Daphnia pulex: one gene and its partner. The protein of the gene in region 2 purifies or fractionates together with the protein of the main gene of each other region. This does not show direct contact. Links are inferred from orthologs where the notes say so. Each region holds a gene or a part of one and is shown on either strand. Other genes may lie near its edges.

The links. The genes of interacting proteins can lie anywhere in the genome.
Region 1: the proteins of WD repeat-containing protein 20-like (region 2) and F-box/WD repeat-containing protein 5-like purify together in Homo sapiens (co-immunoprecipitation; 3 studies listed by BioGRID and IntAct, counting the BioPlex papers as one, with this or other methods). This does not show direct contact. The link is inferred for Daphnia pulex from reciprocal best matches to the Homo sapiens genes WDR20 and FBXW5.

The regions. Positions count from the first base shown.
Region 1 is NC_060022.1:5,214,583-5,218,815, forward strand, and holds the start of F-box/WD repeat-containing protein 5-like, read right to left. Parts: upstream 2,832-4,233; 5' UTR 2,642-2,831; coding exon 2,567-2,641; intron 2,502-2,566; coding exon 2,381-2,501; intron 2,267-2,380; coding exon 2,109-2,266; intron 2,036-2,108; coding exon 1,862-2,035; intron 1,782-1,861; coding exon 1,458-1,781; intron 1,385-1,457; coding exon 1,288-1,384; intron 1,216-1,287; coding exon 1,134-1,215; intron 1,069-1,133; coding exon 836-1,068; intron 776-835; coding exon 646-775; intron 582-645; coding exon 468-581; intron 395-467; coding exon 274-394; intron 182-273; coding exon 90-181; intron 6-89; coding exon 1-5. UniProt on the Homo sapiens protein: Substrate recognition component of both SCF (SKP1-CUL1-F-box protein) and DCX (DDB1-CUL4-X-box) E3 ubiquitin-protein ligase complexes.
Region 2 is NC_060023.1:10,107,498-10,111,634, reverse strand, and holds the start of WD repeat-containing protein 20-like, read left to right. Parts: upstream 1-1,322; 5' UTR 1,323-1,635; coding exon 1,636-2,130; intron 2,131-2,201; coding exon 2,202-2,416; intron 2,417-2,499; coding exon 2,500-3,706; 3' UTR 3,707-4,137. Other genes in the region: U3 small nucleolar RNA-associated protein 25 homolog, read right to left, coding at 1-1,100. UniProt on the Homo sapiens protein: Regulator of deubiquitinating complexes. Activates deubiquitinating activity of complexes containing USP12. Anchors at the base of the ubiquitin-contacting loop of USP12 and remotely modulates the catalytic center of the enzyme.

The DNA.
Region 1 (4,233 bases), on a different chromosome or scaffold from region 2:
CACCACTTATTCACAGCATAAATAGAATGATTCGAATCATTGAATTGGACTTAAAGAAACAATACAAAGTAAACGCCCATCTCCTATACCTTGCAACGTAATCCTTACTGACGTCCAGAAAGATAAAAAAGCATTCGTCATTAGGCGTGAATGACCGATGAGCCCGTAACAAAGATCCGACCTGAAAGGCAGAAACGTGAAACCATATTAGTTTCCCTCGCGTCATACCTTCTTACTTGGCCAATGGCCATATTTCCAATAGTGTTCCTATACCTGCTTCAATGTAACTAGATCAATTACGTGTATGTCGATCTCTTGGGCGATGGGCGGTGGTTGGAGGGGATTCTCTATAGTGCAACCTTGTGGCCAGGGTCGCACATTGACGTATAAATATCTGAAATCGGATATACGGATTTTAAGAAGTCGATAATAATTATTATGATGAAAACGAGGATCCCAAGTAATACCTGTGGTCTGGAGACAAAGACATTCCAATTATATGTCCATTCAAATCGATGATATGATCAATTGGGTCAAACCGATCGGCTACCGCCTCAAAGTCCTGCCAAACAGGTTCGGGACTGGAGATTTTGGAAATGTAGAAAGAATTAAAATGATCAATTAAACCACGAAACCTGTTCTTACGGAGGAATTCCAAGGGCCAGAGATTCTTCCAAAGCTTGCCGCTCTTGCCTCTGGATAGCCACTCGTTCAGCCAAACTCGGCCCAACGTCGATGCGATTGCAAAAAGTAAACGGAGTGATTCGTTTCAAACCTGAGTAGAAAACGTAATTGTTGAAGGTTCCGGGTTCAAGGAAAACGCTATAAAACAAACCTATTTGATGCGGAGTGTAAGTTCTAGAACCCATAGTGAAAATTAGGAATTTTTCGCGGGGATCCAGCACTTCCTCTGAATCTTCGTCCGTGGCTTCAGATTCTGCACGTTGAGACCGTGCTCCAGTTCCGGAACTGGTAAACGGCGAATCGGATCTACCTGACTGCTCACCGGCTTCGTTATCTTCACTTTTTGAATCGCCCTCTATGTCATCGTCCATTGCGGATGTAGTACTAAACAATTGAAAAAAAAAATGTTTAAAATGAGCTTTAGAAAATTCAGCAATAGTTATTATTACCCTGAAATGGAAACGTCGGGAGAGTTTCGCCGCCAGCACTGAAACTCATCGGTAGTATTGATTGGCCACAAAGATCCTTCAGCTGAAACATAAGGCGAAATATTAAGATGCAACTGAACGCAGAACCCGCAGAATATCTAAAAGATCTTTCTACATGTTTCTTGGAAGGACTCTTTGGCTGAACCGGGATCTACAGTCTTGGTTCCGGCAAGTTCGGGCTGTGAAATTGGATTCCCCGTCTTGTGGCAGCTCTGTACAAAATCAATTAAAAGGGCGCTCTCCACGATTATGCTGCAAGTTACAGCGACTATCAAAAATGAATACTTTATTGGAGGCGCAATCGTCAGACGTGCCAGAGGGTGTCGGCGAGGAAGAAGACGTCTGATGTTGAGGTAAAGAGCGGCAGTTAGCCACCGTGATTGAGCGAATAGAAGAGGCGCTTCGGTTATAAAACTTGAACATACGGTTCATGATTGAAGTGAATTCCGAATCGGACTCTTGTGAAGCTCGATTCAACCAAACGATTGACGTACTAACGAGATGGGCAAGCCAGCGTAAATCACCGGATAGTAGGTAGTTGTCATTGTACCACGTACCAAAAAAATCGTAAGGCTTATTTGACATTCTGCACTGAATCACAAAGTTCTCCTGTGAATCCAAGATAAAATTGATTTAAATTAATTTTTCATCTAATGTATCAAGTAGCAGCTCCCTGCTACGGCACTTACCTCAAGATTGAAAACGGCGATTTCACCCGTATTTGAGTGATTACCAAAATGAACTCCCGATACCAACAGAAGGGTATCTGATTCATTAAATTGACTAAACTGAGTGTTTTTCCAGCTGTACACTTTCATATCATAATAATGTTTGATTCTGGCAGGATAACCAGCATCCCAAAGCTGCACAATAAGAAATATCAAACATCATTCAAGCAATGTACTAGATATACCAGTGTTTGTAATCTTTTAATACCATAACATAGCCATCTTTGGAGCAGGTGGCAAAATATTTGCCATTGTGCGAGAAACTGACATGAAGCACTTGATGTGTATGGCCCTTTAATACCTCAGTTTCTAATATTGGTGTGTGCTGCCACAGTCTCAGATATTCACTGAACCATGAAGTTTTGCCTAAACAAGGATGAGATTTACACATTAGAAGTCATAGATATAACACATTTGATAAATATGAGAGCAATTTTAAAAAATTTGATAAATTCAATAGATATGAGAGAGGAGATGTACCCGGAGCGATTCCAATTTTCGGACTGATGTTCCAGTCTCTTTTAAAGAAAGATTTCCACAATAGTTCATCTCTAGAGACTCTGTACCAAGTCTGGGAAACGGTGGAAAGTTTCAGTATGTCCTTGAAACATCAAGAGAAAGAAATTTAACTTGAAATGATGACTATAAACATGAAGCTCTACATACTTCTGCTTTGAGAAATCGAAATATCTGCAACAAAACGTGATCAGGCAGTTTACTCCAACCATTCTCCATGTCCATTTTAGATTAAATTTAAATCTTTTGTAAAATCATAAACATAAGATTTTCTGTGGAGATTCCAATTCAAGATGTTTCAACAGTTTATTCCGGGCATTTCATGTTGAAACTTTTTTTTGCTTGACGAACTGGAATGATGGATTGGATCTTGGCACAATTCACCATTCCTAGAAATAAAAACAACAATAACAACAAAGCGATAGTTATGGATGGTTGCCGCTAGATGACTCTCGCATCACTTTATTCCTCAAAAATATGCAGTGAAATCCCAAAAAGTGAATTTGACATTATTTGTAGGTCAGTGTATGGTTGACTTTGCAAAAATTGGAATGATATCACTAAAATATAAACTTTACAATTTAGGTTAAAGGAAAATTGCGAATCATTCAAAATGTTGACAAAAATGTTATAGCAGAGCGTGGTTTCGATCCACGGACCTCTGGGTTATGGGCCCAGCACGCTTCCGCTGCGCCACTCTGCTGTCTTGCTGATCACGAATGTTTTTTAAATAAAATGCAAGTGATTTGCAATGCTTGCGAATGTTGAAGGATTGTTTTTTTGTCTCTCTTGCCTACCAATGTTCAACAACAATCGAATAAATGATTCCATAACATTTTGACACAAAATAGCAATTCCTATTCATTCAAAGCCACTGTAATCGATGCGTTACGTCTGAAATGAGAAAAAGAGACCGTTCGATTTTCGCTAGCAGGAACACGAAACATTCAAGTCAATTTTTCTCGGACTCGCCGACATACGTTGCTGAGAGGTCAAGCTACTAACAAGCAAGTCGCGAGTTCATAGGTCATGGACTGGTTGAAAAATCGGGCGACGTCGAGTCTAAAGTTTTTTGTAAAATAGACGCGCTTCTCCGTCAAAGCCACTAGCCAGTTTCGACGAGATCAGCAGCAGCATCAACTATAAGTTCAATCAAGTTTTTGGTTTCTACATATTGATGAAGCCTTCCAGACTGGACGAGAAAGCCAACTTGTGGTCAACCTTGAACATGTAGGAGGATGTAGCTATTGAGCCAATGCTGTGTCGGTGTTGATCCAGTTGTGAGTCTCTTGTGACATCCACCAGCTCCACTTGTTGTTTCGTATTGTTTTACTTTTACTTTTGGGTGTATATATAGTAGACACATGTGTGTGCGTTGGGCCGGAAGACGGAGTAGGCGGAATACGGCTATATAGACGCGCATACATATACAACAAATCCAAGAGAGGAAAAGCGCCGTCGTTATCTTGTATGTGAACTTCTCGGGGAAAAGAAGATAACGATGGACGGTCGTCGCCAGGATTTTTATCTCGACCAAAGTTTTTTTATTTTATTTTTCTTTTTTCGTCTTTTCGGTCAGGTAAAGTTCACTTTGGTTGCAATGAACTTGACAATGGCATGTGACCTTTTCATTATACATTTAATTTTGACGTCTAGTTCAGCCTTACAAATGTGTCAACTGGGCAGCGCCAGCCGCATCGGGGCTATTATAATTATCATCCAAGGCTGGATCCAAGGCGAATGATGAGTCTCCACCAGCTTTGCTCTGTCTGCTTGTTTGAGTCATCAACAAGAGAGAGGGGAGGCGGTCGTTTTCA
Region 2 (4,137 bases):
AATCCTTGATCTCTATATTCTATTTCATCGGTCGCAACGCCATTTTCTTTGGCCTTTTTCAATTTGGCGTTGTGAAGAAGAACTTTGTCTCTCGATTTCATTACATGATTCAACGAGTGAAGGCAGTAAACTGTTCTAATCTCGTCATTGTTTAAATGGTTCATTTCAGGATAATAAACGTCGCGGTATTCATTTGCGAGAGTGAAAAGCTCATGCTGTAATGGGGAGAGCAGTTCTTCAGCCGTTTGTTTGTTGTCCGAGAGTGGCCTCGTATCAAGGTTGGAACATAATTGCAATTTAACACCGTATTCACTCAAGGGGATTCCAGTTTTCAATACAGGTAGACTACCAGGAATGACATAACTTTCTATTGTTTCACCTAGTAATGTAGGCTTTGGTTGACTTGTGTTTTTTTCAGGTTTGGTTGGCAGGTGAACCACCATTCTTCCAAGAACTTTCCACTTCAGTTCTTGAGTCTCATAAGGCTTGGGTGATGTCAGGATTTCTAAAAGGTTTTCATTTATTTCCCTGTCGAAATGAAGGTGGAAGGGATCCGTAGATAATGTTTCTTCTTCTTCATCACCAGAATGTTCTTCTTCCTCTGATTCAACTTCAAGATCTTCATGTATACTATTTTCCTCGTCAATTTCTTCAGCAACACCAACTGAACTACCACTTTCCTCTTCTCCTACTTCCTCATCGTCTTGAGCTGAATCTTCTTCTTCACTGCCAATGTCATCTTCATTAGATTGGTCATTGATATCTTCAGCTTCCTCTTCATCTGACTGTTCTTCATCAGATGTCAAAACTTGCTGTGCTCTACTACTGGATTTAAACATCGACAGCAGCTGTGTGTAAGGTTTGACTTCTTCTTCTGATTCACTGCTAGATGATTCTTCTTCGATAATAGGCACAGCCTCTTTTTCTTGTTGAAGCTTTTGTCTTTTACTTTCAGAAGTGTCATCTTTTTTTCCATCTCTATCTTGATTAAATTTCCTTTTGTTTTTAAAGTTACCTCCACCACGAGTCGATTTGTTACCACGGGAACCGTGGTTTTTGTAATTGCCACGTTTAGGCCCTCCTCGTCGTCCACGTCCCATTTTAAGAACAAAATAACGTTCGAATTTAATTTATCTGAAATCAAAACTCAAACTCAAATGCACGTGTCAAAATGAAAACTTTGATTGCAGACGTCCAAAGTTGCAAGAACAACACAGTTGATTAATTACAATTTAATAGTGTGCTGCCAAAAATGTATCAAAAATATATTTATTTAAATATATTTATTTATTTTATTCATATTTTTTATTTTATAAATTAAATTAAATGATTCCTTTAAAGTTGAAAATATAAATTGCCAACATGGCAACCAAAAATCACCAACCAAAATGGCGGGCGTCTGCTATCAGGGAATTCTACATCACCAGTGAAAATTAGTTTATTTACCGGAAAAGTTGACAGGTAGCAATCCTGCTTATATATAGACTGATTCACTGTTTAATAAAGCCTTCGAATGTAAAATTATCGGTGCCGTCACGATGGAAGACCGTTGTTTAAACGGTGGAGCCGACATGTTTGAATAATCAAAGTTTTGGTTATTATTGTTTGTGTTTTTGGATCGTTTGTTGTTTACCGATGGCTGGGCAAACGGATCTGAACAGTGGTAGTGTAAGTGGAAACAGCAGCCGGGACGATGTGCGAACTCATTTCACAACCAGAGAGGGAGTATATAAGTTGATAACATTAGCCGAATACTCCAGGGCAAATCGGCTGTCTGGTTACACTGCCATCCAAAGCCAGCAAGGAGCTGCGCTCGGTCAAGGTTCAAACCCTCCAGTTAGGGTTACTTTTGTGTCTCTACCATCTGATCCATCAGGTTTTTGTGACCGCATATGTTTCAACTATGGAAGGGAACTCTACTTCTACACCTACAAGGGAACCAAGAAACCAGCAGACTTGTCCAAGCCTGTTGATAAAAGGATTTACAAAGGAACCAGCCCCACTTGCCATGATATCAATAAATTAACAATCAGCAGTGAAAGTGTTATGCTTCTAGTTGGTTTCACTGGCGGACAAATCCAATTAGTAGATCCAATAAGGAAAGAAATAGGAAAACTTTACAATGAAGAGGTTTCTTGAGATTTTCTGTTTTCTTTATAAATTTATGGAATTTCAATAACATTATTTATTTTTTCCTTCAGAGAATAATTGAAAAGACGAAAGTAACATGTATCAAGTGGCTGCCAGGTTCCCCCAATTTGTTCCTAGTTTCTCATGTTTCGGGACAGATGTATCTGTACAGTGAAGATGTGACGTGTGGTGGACCAGCACCTCCGACCTATCAACTTTTTAAGCAGGGGGCCGGTTTTTCGGTCTGGACTTGTAAAGCCAAAAGCACTCGGAATCCCATTTACAGGTTATTATTCATCATTTCATTTTTAATCATTAATAAAATCAGGTTAAAGACTCCTCCCATCTAACCCCATATTTGGTTGTTAGGTGGGTGATTGGAAACGGCGCCATCAACGACTTTGCCTTCTCACCTTGCTCGAAATACTTGGCGGTTGTGTCGCAGGATGGGTGTCTGCGCGTTCTCAATTATGATGCCATGGAATTGATCGGACTGGCAACATCCTTTTTCGGCGGCTTGCTCTGCGTCTGCTGGTCACCCGACGGGCAGCTGGTAGTGGCCGGCGGCGAGGATGATTTGGTGACGGTTTGGTCTTTCCAACAAAAGAGAATCGTGGCCCGAGGACAGGGCCATCGATCCTGGATCACGGTGGTGGCGTTCGACCCTTTCACGACCCTGTATTCATCTCAATCCTCGTCTTCCAAGTCGTTGTCGAAAGAAGGAGTCGATACTTCGGTCACGTCGAACGGGACGGGCGGAATCGACGGCGAGGCGGAAACGAAATCCTCTAGCGACATTGCCACCTGTTACCGTCTAGGATCTATAGCCATGGACACTCAGCTGTGTCTTTGGGAGTTGACGGACGACGTCCTGAAACAGCCTTACGGTTCCCGGAGCCGAGCTTCAATGGTCTCAGGACCAGGATCGCCACCTTCTAGTCTGAAATTCACTGGCCAGACGCCCATTTCCGGCGATCGGAGTAGTAGCAGCAGCAGCAACAACGTTGTCACCATCACCCCGGTCAACAACTTGACCGTTTCTCCAGCACCCAGTAGTGCGACTGCCACGCCTGTCAACGCCGCAGGATCTCTCACTCAGCGGCTGGCGAATATGACATTTTCCGATAGAAAGTCGGGCCAGCAACAGGAGGCAGCAGCAACCGACTCGAAATCCCACCGAAAGAATTTCAGCCTTGGCAGTGGCCGGAATTCCACTTCGGATCGGTCGGGTAACGCGGCCAATTCGTTGGGTTTGAAATCCGTTTCTTCAGTCTCGTCCACTTCCTCCTCTGCGGGTACCACCACCACAGCGAACCCGTCGCTAGTGACGGGCTGTGCTGATCCGCTCCGGTTGATCGGCACGCAAGCCTGCCCTCGACTGGACGAGATCCCCATGCTGGAGCCGCTCGTTTGTAAGAAAGTCTCCCACGAGCGGCTGACGGCGCTCATCTTCCGTGAGGACTGCCTCATCACCGCCTGCCAAGATGGCATCGTCTGTACCTGGGCTCGGCCAATTGGCCCGTCTCCACACCACACTTCCACCAGCACACCCACCAATGAAGGCACCATGGTCTGAGATGATGATGAGAAAAAATTATCCATTCGTTACGTTCATCTCCCGTTCCTTTTTGTTTTTCCGCAATTAGCGACCGACGACAATTATCGTGTAGCCCTGTCAAGATTCTTCTTCATTAACCCCAATTCCAAACGAGCCATCTTGACCTACTCTTTTTCGCCCTCCAGTGAACAACCAAGTTTTGTTGTTTCTTCTTGTCTATCATCATCAGTTCATTTTTAGGTTTCTCTTTCTTTCTTTAACTGTGTCGTTAAACCCCAAACGGCCCTCAATTTTTCCCTCCCCTGGTGGTGGTTGGTGACGATATAACAACTTAGGGGCCCCGGATATGATTCTAACGGCATTTTGCAGATTCCTAATCTCACCACCTATCGTGCATTCTCCTTTCTTATCTTTCTCCTCCTTTTTTCTTCGATTACCTACAGGGTATA